Sus scrofa: one gene and its partner. The protein of the gene in region 1 purifies or fractionates together with the protein of each later gene. This does not show direct contact. Links are inferred from orthologs where the notes say so. Each region holds a gene or a part of one and is shown in the gene's direction. Other genes may lie near its edges. The genes, in order: DMD and SNTB2.

Region 1 (6,754 bases):
AAAATTTAATGGATCTGAGTCCTCACTCCAACTTCTCTAGGAGCCAGCTAGCCCTGTGAGTCTCAGGTTTTACAGCCTAGAAATGTCTCCAAGGTCTGGGCTTTAAATTTCTGAAATATAAATACCTTGCAGAGATAGGCACTTCTGTCATTGTGACAGCTTAGAGACATAAACTGGGAAACTACTCTGGGCTATAACCATTTGGCCCTCTTGGATTAGAGAAATTAACTAAACAAATGACTGCATATCTGAATCCCATGGTATGGGAAGGTGTTCAGGAAGCTAGAACTTTTTATAGGTGTATTGAAGAATCCAGGAGAGGATATCTCCTCACATTTAGTTTAACTGCATCCTACATTCACTTCTCTACCCAGCCTAGATACTAGGAGTCATCCTTGTTCCTTCCTTTCTCTTCTCCAGCATCTCTTCAGTCACCAGAATCTTATATCTCTGCTCTATAAACATTTACCTACTCTTCCTCTGTCTCTTTTCTTTTGTCCATGGCTGCAGCACATGGAAGTTCCTAGGTCAGGGATCAAACTCATGGCACAGCAGCAACCAAGCTGCTGTAGTGATAACACTGGATCTTTAACCTACTGAGCCACAAGAGAATTCCCTTTTTTTTCCTTTTTCTTTCTTTTTTTCTTTTTTTGGCTATGCCCATGGCATGTGGAAGCTCCTGGGCCAGGGATCAAATCTGAGCTACAGCAGTAACAACACGAGATCCTTAACCCAATGCACCACCAAGGAATTCCTCTTTTTTTTTTTTTCCTAATACCATGATGCCATTGCCCTAGATCAGATCCTCCTTATCTTTCACTAAATTCTTGGAATTGCCTCCTAAATGTCTTCTCTGATTCCATTACTGTCCTTCTCAAATACATGTTCTGTACTAATGTCAGAGAAATCTATTTGAAAAACACACGAACACCCATACCAGTCCTCTGCTTAAATCCTTTCAAAGGCTCCTGATTACCTGCAAGACAACACCTAGACTTCTTAGCAGGGCATATGTGGTCATAGATTGAGCTTCAAATCCTGACTTAAAGGTCCAAAGTAGTTTGAAATAATAACTGTGCCCTGCTTCATCTCTGGACATGTCTTCCATTTGTACTTTATCTTCTAGAAACATTAGCCTACTTGAGAAAACTACATACGCCACCTATGTCTTCGCACCTGCATTTGCATCTTCTTTCTTCTTCTTCTGACCTGCTCTTCCCTAGCTAACTCCTTTTCATGCTTTAGAATTCTTTGTGAATACTATCTTCTCCAGGAAGTCTTTCCCAATTTCCTTTCCCATATTGTGCCCACCTATAGTTCTTTCCACATTGTGTTGAAGTTATTTATGTATTCAACTCTTCCACTCTATACCATGAGTTCCTACCTAAGAAGGGCTGTTTTGCATTCAAGTTTGGATTTCTTGTCTCTGGTATAACTACTGACACATAATAGTTCAATGAAGGGAGCTATTATTATTTTTATAATTACTAACGTTGGGATCAGCTTCCTCTTTTCAAGTCCAGATGGAGAGACTAAGCAAGACAATAATTTTCTTTTTTATTTTTATTTCCCCAATACAATTTTTTTTCTACTGTACAGCATGGTGACCCAGTTACACATACATGTATACATTCTTTTTTCTCCCATTATCATGTTCCATCATAAGTGACTAAAAATATGGTACAAATGAACCTTTCCGCAGAAAATAATTTCCTTAAAGTTAGAAAAATTAGATGTCTGACAAAAATACAGGAGTACAAGAAGTGTATACACACATATACATGCATGTATGCACACACATGCAAACACATACATACAGAAAGAGATTACAAATGAAACAGGGCAGGGCGAATCAGCCTTACATGTAAGCAGAATAAATAACCCACCAACTCTGTATGATTTCAAGGATGCAACAATATCGCACTATATGGAAATTACATTCCTATCCACAGGCTGAATCCTAATATTCCACTTACAGAATTTTGTTATTTTGGCTTAATCACCTTGCTTTACTCTACGAATTGTAAATAACTCCGGAAGATGGATCATTGTGCAAAGTATCAGAGTCAGGATTCCTTTGAATGGTGAACACCATTATAGCTGTATTTATTAATGTGTCATACCATACACTCCTGGAACACTCCTATGTTTTAAGGTGATACTGCAAGTTAGTCTCCCAGTAACAGAACAGTGTTTAAACTCAGTAGGCAACATTATGAAAAGTAGGATAGAAATTTTTAATGATATGAATAATTAAGCCCTAGATCAGGGCAATTATTATTACTATTGTTTTTACATGGATCTTTTAGCATTTATGCGATACTTAATAGTTTCATTAAAATCATCTCTTCTGAGATTGCAGAACCTGGATCTGTAACTATCTTCCATGGTTTCAGTGTATCTGTTCATTTATCCTAGAGTCACATGATATCTCTTAACCCACTTGATTATATAGAATTGTATTGTTTTCATTGTTTCTAGTATGTTAGTTTTCACCCTTCTTTTGGTTAAGAAATGTCTTGGAGGCTGAAACTGCATTTTGCTTTTCTTTTAATCCCCTATATCAAAGAAGATTATAGATTAGAGATGAAAATTGATGATTAACCTAGATGACCTCAAGACACCTATTCTAGGCCCACTCTTTTATAGAAACTTGTTCCCACAATTCTCACCTCCAGTATACCTCAAAACCTCTCTCCCATTTTCAAAGAAGTCACAATGAATAATGTTATAGGTATTTTGGGAAAGTGTTGAGTTTCTACTTAGTTTCCTATTAACACATCATTATATTTATTGTTAGACATTTTGACAGAATTGACTGGTGATTATGAATTGGATTGGTTGTACCCTTCAATACAACCTAAGTTTTCCCAAATGGCCCATTATGGTCTGGATTTCCATTATATGGAATATGTGTAAGTTTCATTAGCCCTCCTAGAATTGCTGTATTGCAAGGGTTTTGCAATATATATCTTAAAATTTTAGCCCCAGAGTTCAAGTTTGGCAGTCCAGTTATATAAATAAAGCACTCTTTTCTTAATTAAAGGGCATTAATGTATTTTGAAAGCACCCCTGTCCTCTCCAGAATAGTTTTACAAACCCATTGGTTTCCTGATTACCAGAAAGATCCATTGAGCCTTCTTTATCATTTTATGACAATCAGTTTAGAAATAAAGGAGATAGAAACTGACCTGGGAATTTCATAACCAAGTTATGAGCACCAAGGATTAATTTTCAAAAGAATGCCACAAGCCAAATAAGCATTTCTTTTCATCTTATTTCCCAGGCCTTCAAGAGGGAATTGAAAACGAAAGAACCTGTAATCATGAGTACTCTTGAGACTGTACGAATATTTCTTACAGAGCAGCCTTTGGAAGGACTAGAGAAACTCTACCAGGAGCCCAGAGGTAATTAAATGTGGAACTGTGGTAACATATTGATAGAAGGATCAGTGGTGACAGAGCGACCCATCCATTCTTGCTGCCAGGGTCTGAATAGCACTTGTATTTTCTAGGTTAAATAGAATTGATTCAGATTAGACATAGATGTTGAAAAAGAGAAAGGAATCATAAAGCACCATACATAAATCTGTTTGCACATTCATAAATAAACATTAAAAGAGATTAGCGATCAGTTATTGAAACATTTAGAAAAGAATCAACAAAAGAGATTATCTGTGAGGAGGAATTTATTGTTACAAAAACTACAAGCTAATTTCAATTTAAGAGCCTTCCTCAAGTAAACTAGAGCTTGTGGTGTGCATCCTAACATTTTTTCTACTTAATATCTTAAATGAATCTTGGATTATCTGATTGATAGAAGGTGGAACAGATTCACTCAGGAAGATAGACTCAAATGTGCTAAACTGTATCAAAACAAATGCCAGAGTATCAAAGAGCCATTAATCAGTAAGTTGGCCTCTTGTTAAACTATACTTTCTTTCTCCCAGTATGACCTTTTCAGCAGTGGGGTTTTTTTAAACACAAAAATGAATGTTGCCTAAAACCTTGTTGTGTTACCAATTTAGAGCTGCCTCCTGAGGAGAGAGCCCAGAATGTCACAAGGCTCCTACGAAAGCAGGCTGAGGAGGTCAACACTGAGTGGGAGAAACTGAACCTGCACTCTGCTGACTGGCAGAGAAAAATAGATGAGGCCCTCGAAAGACTCCAGGAACTTCAGGAGGCAACGGATGAGTTGGACCTCAAACTCCGCCAAGCTGAGGTGATCAAGGGATCGTGGCAGCCTGTGGGAGATCTCCTCATTGACTCCCTCCAAGATCACCTCGAAAAAGTCAAGGTACCGTTTACTGGATGGCTTCAGGGCCTTTGAGGGACTCAAAAGAGGTTCTAATCTGAACTCATTTGCGGTGTTTTCATCTCAAAAAGTTTAAAATAGGGCCCTTAATCTTTCAAAGTAAGGCCATCTTTTGCAAATTCAGAGTCTTCTGGCATATGTATTTTTTTCTCAGAGAAGATAGTGATCTCATCATCTCTCTGTCTTCAGTAATATAAAAAGAAATATTAAGAAGTTATAGAGCAAAAATTATTTTGACTTTACTAATAGGAAATTAACTAAGTGTACTAAAGTGGTCTGGTTGTGTGTGTGTGTGTGTGTGTGTGTGTGTGTGTGTGTGTGTGAGTGTGTGTGTGTTTACCCTTTGTGGATCGTAGTATCAGAGTAGGGAAAAAGATAACATTTAATCAAGAGCCAGGAGTCTAGGTTTTGGCCTATTGGCTAACTAAATTATATGACCTGGGTGAATTAAGTACTGTGAATTGAGACCATTAATGCTGCCCTTCCCTTAGAAGGCAATGTATATATGCAATTTTGAGTTGTATTTGTCCACCGCAGATCTTAGGAAATATCATTCTCTATTTGGAATACTGTCCATGAAACCAAAGTTAAATTCCCTTCTAGCAGAAATTTGATAAATATATTTATAAAGAAAGAATATTCATATTTAGGAGTATCATGTTAAAAACCAGCAACTTGGAACGTATTTTATCTATTTATCTAGTGTCAAAACCAATGGAAGTCCTTCTAGATTCAAACTCAGAAGTGATATTCTCACCTGTGCTTAGCATGTTTGCCAGCCCCCTCATTCTGGAAGGTCTTTTCTTCCTTGGCTTTCATAGCACTGTTTCATCTACATTCTTCTTCTTCCTTTATTTTCCTCAATTCTGAAACTTTACCCACCCTTCAGATGTCAGTGTGCCCAGGTTTCTAACCTTAGTTCGGTTATCTTTTTATTGTATAAAAATCTTAGCTCACTTTTCTTCTTAATGTATAAATGTTCCTAGTTTGAAATGGCATGGTTGGTGACAGATCTAAATTTATAATTTGGATTTCTTTGCTGATCTGCTAACCTGTATGCCATTAGAATTGAAACACAGCCATTCTGAAAGCAAGTTCATTTGTTCTCCTGTTAGCCCATCCCCCTACTAATATACCTTTTTACCTGCCTTCTCCTCTGTTTTCTATTTCAGTTAATGGATCATAATCCAACAAGTTGCTCAGGCTAGAAACTTGAGGTCCATCCTTCAATCCTTGTACATTTTCATTGACTGCACTTGATTGCTCATTTTACTTCAGAATATCTCCTTCACAGTTTCTCTCCTCTTTTCAACCAATGTCCCATTCCGGTCCCCAACACTGTAAGTCAGTTTGTTGTATTACATATCCTTAAATCTCATTTCCCAGTCAATGTAGATGGCATATTACAAACACTGCATTTTAGGTATTTGGTGAATGAATGAATAAACAGTTTCTTTGCTCTTTCTGTATTACCCACTCTGTTCCAACTTGAATCCAAGCTCTGTGTAGGAGACTGCCTGCATGACAGTGGAGGCAGGCGATCCTGTTTCTTCATAGCCTTGGCTTAAATTTCTGATTGTTGCTTCTGTCCTCTAGGCCATTGCAGACTTCTGTCCATACCCTCCTTTAGCAAACTATGCAATTCTTTTTTCATAACACTCTGCCTTTGCAAATGCTGTTCTCTGTGCCTGGATCAGGCCACCTTACCTACTGGTAAACTGCCACTCAGCCCTCAAGACCCAACTCAAAAGGCCCCTGTCCTTAGAGTTTACCCAGTTTTCTACCCCCAACTCCCACCAAGCAGAACCTGCTCTGAATTCAGTGCTTTCAAGATCCCCACTCATACTTGCATTGTTACACTTCAATTTTACCTATGTTGTGGCAAGTCACTTAGGTATTTCTTTTTCTCCCATAGAAAGTGAAATTTCTAAGAGCAAGGATCATGGTGTACATCTTTGAATTCACAGTTCCTAGTACGGTGCTGGCAAAATATAAGGAATTTAATTCAGCTTCTTTATTCCTCCATGCAACAATTGTTTATGAGTTACTATAAAATGTGCTAAACATGTAGTTATAGGTGAAACAGACTTGATCTTTGTCCTCATGAAGCCCACAGTCTAATGTTGAATTGAAAAGCTCTTCATTAAAACAGTAGGTGAAGATTTAAAAGAAGATTAAGTACATAATTTCTAAAATCTCTGCCACCTGAACATTATACAACCCCGTGCCTAACATTTTAAGCAATGGTTAACATTTCTGTACATATAAAAATTGAAATAATGTTTTGAAATGTCTTACCTTGCATTCGTTCTGCATTAAAAATCCTATTTTATGCAAAAAGATAGGAACTAAATTTTTACAAATCTTCCCCCAAATGGAAAATAAACTTAAGAGAATGTCCCAAAGGAAGTAAATTAGTCAATAAATCAATTAAGTGGCT
Region 2 (7,426 bases), on another chromosome or scaffold:
TTTTTTTTTTTTTTTTCTTTTAGGGCTGTACCTGTGGCACATGGAGGTTCCCAAGCTAGGAGTTGAATCGGAGCTGTAGCTGCTGGCCTTCACCACAGCGACAGCAACGCCAGATCAAGCCACGTCTATGACTACACCATAGCTCACAACAACCCTGGATCCTCAACCCACTGAGCCAGGATGCTGGTTGGGTTCGTTAACCACTGAGCCACGATGGAACCCCTGAACCTTGTGCTTTTAATTACCATGCTATATTGTACACCTACCATGAGGGAAAAGGGGAAAAAAAGACTTTTGAAAGAGCACAGAAGCTGAGCCTGTGTCACAGAATGAAAGGAAATTATGGAACTGGAGAGCTAATCCAACCCCCTCATTTTGAAGTAGCAGTGATACCTGCCCTGTTCTGAGAAAACAGGTAACAGCTTGAGCAGAGGAGAAAACCTACTGATAGGTGACAGGAATAAAAGGTTATTAGGAATTATCTCAGCCATTCCCTTTTTTTAGAGGTAGATAAAATAACATGCCTGTTCAAAGAATTATCTGAGCTTGTCTCGCCACCCCTAAGAAACTGTGGAAACAGATGTGTACTCCTTTTATTTCAGATTTCATTATCCACAGTAAGTAGATTTCCACTGACTACTTGAGATTTCCTAGATGGCAATTTTCACTCTGCAAGGAACCAATAACCTTCAGAGGGATTATTTGAAACGACTACAGCACAGGAGGCATTGAATTTCAATCAATCACATGTTTAATGAGTTCCTTCTCGGCAAGGCAACAACTTTGGAATAGTGGGGAACAAAAAGAAGTCAATGGGCGGTCCCTGTCCTGTATATCATAATATACTTGGACAGACAAGCAAGGCATAGAATAAAATTGTTCAAAGGGAAAATCCCAACAAAGTGAGTAGGCAGAGAAAACGGGGATGAGCTCTTGCTAGGTGGGAAAGTGAAAGGGGCAGAAAGTGTTTGGAAGGATGGACCCCAGCAGGAATGTGCAAGGCATCCTTGGAAGAGATTGACTGGATGAGTGTGGCCAATCCGAAAGGAGTGATGAAGGAGAATGTGAAAATTAAGTTCTGATGGAGGACCTTGTAAAAATGGCTGAATAGTTTAGACATTTTTTATGGATGTACTTTGAAATAATTTAAGTAAATATCCCCCAATAATCCAAATATCAATCTCTATTACCTCCCATCTTACCGGGGTTAAATATTTCATTATATAACCTACTGTCTTATGTAAGTGCCCTCCCTATTTAGGTGGAAGATCTATGATTTCCTCCAACTCTTTTGACCAAAAGGTCTTGACACTTTTGGAAAGAAATTCCAGCATTTCCCTTTTGCTAATAAAGATGTCCTCAAGTGCCCAACCTCTGGGTGATTACATATGTAAACGTGCTCGAAATGTGCTCATTCTCTAAGGAGACAGCTGCCAAGTGCTCTCTAATAAGTAGAAGTTTCGCTTAACTCAGGCCTCTGGGGGCTCCCGCCTCAGCTGGAGCAAAGCCAGAAATGTCTGTGACTGCAGGTGCACTTGGGCACATTGGGACCTGCCAGAGCAGAGAGCGGGCCTCACTGCAATTGATTGAGGAGAGGGCCAGAGGGTTGAGCTTCTGCTGATGTCTGCAGCTTGGAAAATCCCACTCCGCTAATTGCAAAGAGGATTCTGCTGTAATGATTTTTGGAGTAAGATACTTTTCTCATTTTGAATTCTTTCTTCATTTGGGCTCTGAGTGCTTACCAATCTTTCTTTTTTAAAAAAAAATTTTTTTTAATTGTTTTAATTCCTGGTATAGGAGGCTCTTTGAAAGTTTCTGCCCACACATGAGTGTGCATTAGATTGGTTCATGGACATGGCTTACGAGCTTCAACATGTACTTCATGAGCAAGCAGGTATACAGCCCCTTTCACAGGAATTGCTGCACACTCCCTCTGTTGGCACCACTGCTCCCACCCCTGCCTGCCCAAATGAAAATATGGGCATTTTGCTTTTCCTGAAAAAAAAAAAGGAAAAAGGGCACAGTGACCTCATGTTGAGATCTCTCTCAGCAGCATGATTTCTGGATCCTCACTTTTGAGGTCTAGAGTATGGTCTAGGGTGTGTATGTGTTTGTTTTAAAGCACTGGAACAGGAAACTGGGAGACCAGAGATGTTTTGTTACTTGTGGACACTGGGCCAAAGCTTTGGCTTTCTGGGCCTCAGTTTCCTCAACTCTTCAAGCCAGGAAACTGGAAGAAGCAGGTGAATTTTATCACCTACAGCTTTGGACAAAAGCTGCTGCAGGCTTTGCACTGTGTAATCAGTTTCTGGGGACGCTCATATGCACTTGCCCCAATGTAAGGCCCTGGCCTCCAGGGTAGAAAGTCAGATCTACAAATTCAATTCCAATATTTGGTTATTTGAGTCTTTTTACACTCATATCCTTATATTTCCATGGACCCTGCACTATTCACATTTGAATTCTGGCATCTTCCTAAGTAACCATCATTCTGCAAATATCTTTGAGGCCTACCTAATGTGGCTGCAGGGCTAAAGAAAACATGAACCCCTCTGGCATTACCGGTATTACAAAGCAGAATGACAAATGCTTGGATTCATGCCTCTAGACTTTTGCTTATGCAGTTCCCTCTGTTCCAGTTATTGAGCTTCCATTGTCACCTCTGTGAAACTGACCCCAGGCTCAACTACTTCTACTCCGGTCTCAGGGCTTTTTCTACATGTCACTTAACCACATAATATCACATCAGGTTGGTTGGTTCTCTTTTTTCCTCCCCTACTAAACCGCCAGCTCTCGGCTGTGGTAGTTTTGTTCATCTCACCTCCAGGCCTCAAAAGGAGCCCACAGCGGAGCATTCAGTAAATACTTACTTAGTAAGAACCAATCAATGCAAAAGTGAACTTGCAACTCGGAGGCTTTCAACTTGCAGGCTTGCAAAGTGTCTTGTGAAGCTGATTTTGCTTTCCATGCCCAGGCAGCTCTGGTGCATTAAACGGTACAGGTCAGAAGCTGGAGGGTGTAAGGGTCGGAGGCTAACGGAGGGAGAACGTGAGACCGAGCCCCACTTCGCTTGAGCTGTGAACTGCAACCCACCGGACCGCAGGCAACTCCTTAGACCTCCCGGAAGCGTCCCGGCCGGCCTCTCCCCACCGCTCCGGAAGGTGGGCGTGGCCTCTCATGAATAATGAATCACCGCGGGGGGAGGGGCCGGGCCCGCCCCCTCGGGCGGGAAGGGGGAAGCGCCTAGGCTGCCTGACTGGAATGAGGGTAGCTGCGCCGACTGCGGCGGCGGGAGCGGGGCCGGCCATGGCGGTGTGGACGCGGGCCACCAAAGCGGGGCTGGTAGAACTGCTCCTTAGGGAGCGCTGGGTCCGGGTGGTGGCCGAGCTGAGCGGGGAGAGCCTGAGCCTGACGGGCGACGCCGCGGCGGCTGAACCAGAGCCAGCTCTAGGGCCCGCGGCGGCCGCCTTCAACGGCCTCCCGAACGGCGGCGGCGCGGGCGATTCGCTGCCCGGGAGCCCGAGCCGCGGCCTGGGCCCCCCAAGTCCACCCGCGCCGCCGCGAGGCCCGGCGAGTGAGGCGGGCGCGTCACCGCCGGTGCGCCGAGTGCGGGTGGTGAAGCAGGAGGCGGGCGGCCTGGGCATCAGCATCAAGGGCGGCCGCGAGAACCGGATGCCGATCCTCATCTCCAAGATCTTCCCGGGACTGGCGGCCGACCAGAGCCGGGCGCTGCGGCTGGGCGACGCCATCCTGTCGGTGAACGGCACCGACCTGCGCCAGGCCACCCACGACCAGGCCGTTCAGGCACTGAAGCGCGCGGGCAAGGAGGTGCTGCTGGAGGGTGAGCGGGGCCGGCGGGCGGGCAGGCGGGCGGGAGGTGCTGGGCTGGCCGGCGCTCACTTTGTTTCTGCCACCCTGCCCGCTTGGCGGGGCGAGCCCCTTCCCTCCCTCCGAGCCCTCACCTTCCCTTCTGCTGGTGGCCCGGCTCTCCCCAAACCCTGTTTGCTGGGACTTGGAGGATGGAAAAACTGATGCTCCCTGCAGGAAAAGTTGGGCAGCCGCCGAAGTGTGGCTTGCAGTCCCCAAGGAAGACTCGGTTGAGATTTAGTAAAAAGCAGCCGCGCTTGAAGCCCCGCCTCTGCACTATAAGCTGACACTAAGAACTAGAGAGGGACGGAACGGAGTTCTGGAGGTCTCGGTTTGCCTCCTGAGAAGTGCCGAGTTGGCTGTTTCTTCATTCACCTCTGGCTTCCCAGGGCGGGCGGGTCTGTTAAAAAAAAAAAAAAAAAAAAATTATCCAGTCCGATGCCAGCGGTATGCTTGGGCAAACCCTCGAAACCCTGGTTAATTTATGGGAATTTAACCCATCATTGGCTCGCAACAATAACCAAAGGAGATCCTAGCACTTCATTGAAGCCAGAAAGCTGAAACAGCAAGTTCGTGTGGTTAATGAGCCTTATTTAACAGTGAAGGCTCACGTGTTTGAACATTTACTGCCAACTAGAGTTTTGCCCTTTTTTTAGGAGACTGGTGCCAGCTTCCTACCATTCACAGGCGTCCTGCTTCAAGGCTTTAAGCTTATTAGAAGCCTGAAATGTTAAATCTCAAGTCATGTTTGAATAGCCAGGATTGTTATTTACTTTAAATATGTATGTGACCTGGGTCGTCTTTGATGAATTTATGAAATTAAGGCAAAATTAAATATCATCTCCTTAATGGACTCGTGCATGTTGGAGGTAATACTGCTTTAGAAATTTTTGAGCAGTTGGCCTTCTTTCACTGTGATTCAGTAGTTCAAAAAGCATTTATTGCTGGCTGTATAGAAGAGAACATAAAAGGTGATCTGCCTCTATTTGGTGTCTATTTGGGGAAATGATAGAAAAATGCAAAAACAAAAAACCCTTCAAGTTATAGATTGTATAGTGCAAACTATATAATTGCCACAGGAAATGCAAAGTTATGCAGTAGTTAGTGGAAATTGGATTTGTCAGGGAGCAATTTTTCAAGGAGTTGAATCTTGAGCCAGGTCTCCAGGGAAGTGATAGACATAGGCTGAGATGAGTCAGGAGGGTATTCCTGGCAGAAGAACAGAAGGGAAGGGGTGGGGAGAGTAGGAAGGGACCAATTGTCAAACTGAGAGGCCAGAAACCCAGTGGGCAAAGTGATCTTCACTTTTTTCCAAATCCGCTGGTAAATGTCTGGGAAAATGTTCATTTGCAAGTAAATGATTTAATGTGCTCCAATTGTGGAATTCCAGTGTCTCACCTTTGTAATATCCTATTTATATTTCTCTCAGGTGAGGCTAGACACTACTCAGAATTTAGTGTTAATAAAGAGAGTAAAATTATAGATTGTGGTTTTGGTGGTGTGTGTGTAAAAAAACATTGTTACCATGAATGTGTACCTTGAAACTGAACTAGCTAAGAATTTGGTAATAAATTCTTAAAGCCAGACTATTGAATGTGTACTATGTATATGGTGCTCAGTGGTGATGGGCAGACATTTTAACTCTCTACCCCATATTTTTTAAAAATCGAGGGTTTTTTAAGATATAATTTGAACCTGGTATTCATACCAATTAAATGAAAATCATCTAGTAAATGCTTCCCAGTATTCATTAGTCTAAAACAGACCACATGTGCTTTTGAGAGGGTTTACAAATAGCAGCCTGACATTTATTTACTGAATGCCTATTTACCTAACACACAGGTTCTGCTTTATTTTCCCATTTTGTAAAAGACAAGTAGTTTTTGTTCTTACATGTGTGGGGAAGTACGAAATTGAACTTTCAAGCCTAGGGATATAAAAATAAAATTACTTAGAATAATGCAAAATCACCGAAAACAGTGATTTAATTGAACCAGTCAACCATTTAAAATTAAGAGCTAGTTGTTCCATCCAGGTAGGCCACTATTAAAAGATAGATTTTATGCTTAGCCCTTAAAGTTTTGGAACTATATGGTCCTTCCATTATATATCTCACAGCCTGAAAAACTGCTTTAACATAGCGCAGTGATGGTCTTTTGTGGTGTAGGTAGGGGATTTCAGGCAAGCTCTTGCCACCCCAAAGCAAAGCAAAGCTCTAGCCTCCGGTTGCCGTGGTTAGGGAATTGAGTGAGCTAAAGGATTCTTTTTCATCTCGGGTTTGTAGGGATTTTTCATTCATACAGAAATCATCTATTCAACTCTACCACTTCCAGAGGCACTTGAAGATAGTGCCTGTTTTCTGCCCTCAGGAAGTTGGGAGTTGAGAGAGAGTTAAAGAGATAATACAGCTTGGAACTCCCTTCTTGGCTCAGCTGTTACGAACCCGACTAGGATCCATGAGGATGCGGGTTCAATCCTTGGCCTTGCTCAGTGGGTTAAAGATCCTGTGTTGCCATGAGCTGTGGTGTAGGTTGAAGATGTGGCTTGGATCCTGCGTTGCTGCGGCTGTGGTGTAGACCAGCAGTTGTAGCTCCGATTCACCTTGGAACTTCCTTATGCTTTGGGTGTGGCCCTGAAAAGCAAAACAAACAAACAAACAAACAAAAGATAGATAATACAGCAAAGGGCTAAAAGTGCTGTTGGTTTTGGGGGTTTTGGGTTTTTTTTAATTTTTAAAAATTTTTTTGTCTTTTGAGGACCACACCCTCGGCATATGGAGGTTCCCAGGCCTAGGGGTCCAGTCAGAGCTGTTGCCACTGGCCTATGCCAGAGCCACAGCATTGCCAGATCCAAGGCGTTGCCAAATCCTTAACCCACTGAGCGAGGCCAGGGTTCTAACCGGCAACCCCATGGTTCCCAGTCAGATTGTTTCCACTGCTCCATGACAAAACTCCTAAAAGCACTGTTGCAGTGCAACTCTGGAGCAGGCACATCACATAAGAAGGAAAGATTCGTGGGGATCAGAGGTTGAGGATGCCCAGGAAAAGTTTGATGGAGAAGTTGAAGTTCAAATTGAGCTTCTTCCCTAAAGAGAAAGCTGCTTTCGGTTCAGAAGTAAGTAAAAGACCTGAAGAAGTTATTCTGCCCACTGAGAGTAGAGTACAAATGAGGACTTTGTGGTCAGCCAGACCTGGGCATGTTTCTGGCTAGTGGTTTGTAACCCTAGGCAAGTTACTCAACCTTGCTACGCCTTCGTTTCCTCATCTGTAAAACCAGGATGGTAATAATACTCCTCACAGGGTTGTTATTCATTTGACAGTTTATGTGCTGGGAGCTTTTTTGAGGACTGGGAATGCAGCAGTAAACAGCCATAATGAAAACAAAGTCTGAATGAGGAAGGTAGGGCTGGGGCCTGAAGGTGTGCTGCAAGTTAACAAAGACTCTCAGAATAGCCAGGGTAACAAGTTGTTAAAATCCAAGGCTTCTTTTTCCTTGGAAAAAAAATACATGATAAGAATAAGAATTGTTTCAGGTGAGTAGATTAAGAATGAGTTTGCAT

Evidence for each region.
Region 2: the proteins of DMD (region 1) and SNTB2 purify together in Homo sapiens (co-immunoprecipitation; 4 studies listed by BioGRID and IntAct, counting the BioPlex papers as one, with this or other methods). This does not show direct contact. The link is inferred for Sus scrofa from reciprocal best matches to the Homo sapiens genes DMD and SNTB2.

Annotation. Positions count from the first base shown.
Region 1 is NC_010461.5:27,385,371-27,392,124, reverse strand, and holds part of DMD (dystrophin), read left to right. Parts: intron 1-3,286; coding exon 3,287-3,407; intron 3,408-4,027; coding exon 4,028-4,296; intron 4,297-6,754. UniProt on the Homo sapiens protein: Anchors the extracellular matrix to the cytoskeleton via F-actin. Ligand for dystroglycan.
Region 2 is NC_010448.4:17,770,332-17,777,757, reverse strand, and holds the start of SNTB2 (beta-2-syntrophin), read left to right. Parts: upstream 1-3,207; 5' UTR 3,208-3,261; coding exon 3,262-3,841; intron 3,842-7,426. UniProt on the Homo sapiens protein: Adapter protein that binds to and probably organizes the subcellular localization of a variety of membrane proteins. May link various receptors to the actin cytoskeleton and the dystrophin glycoprotein complex.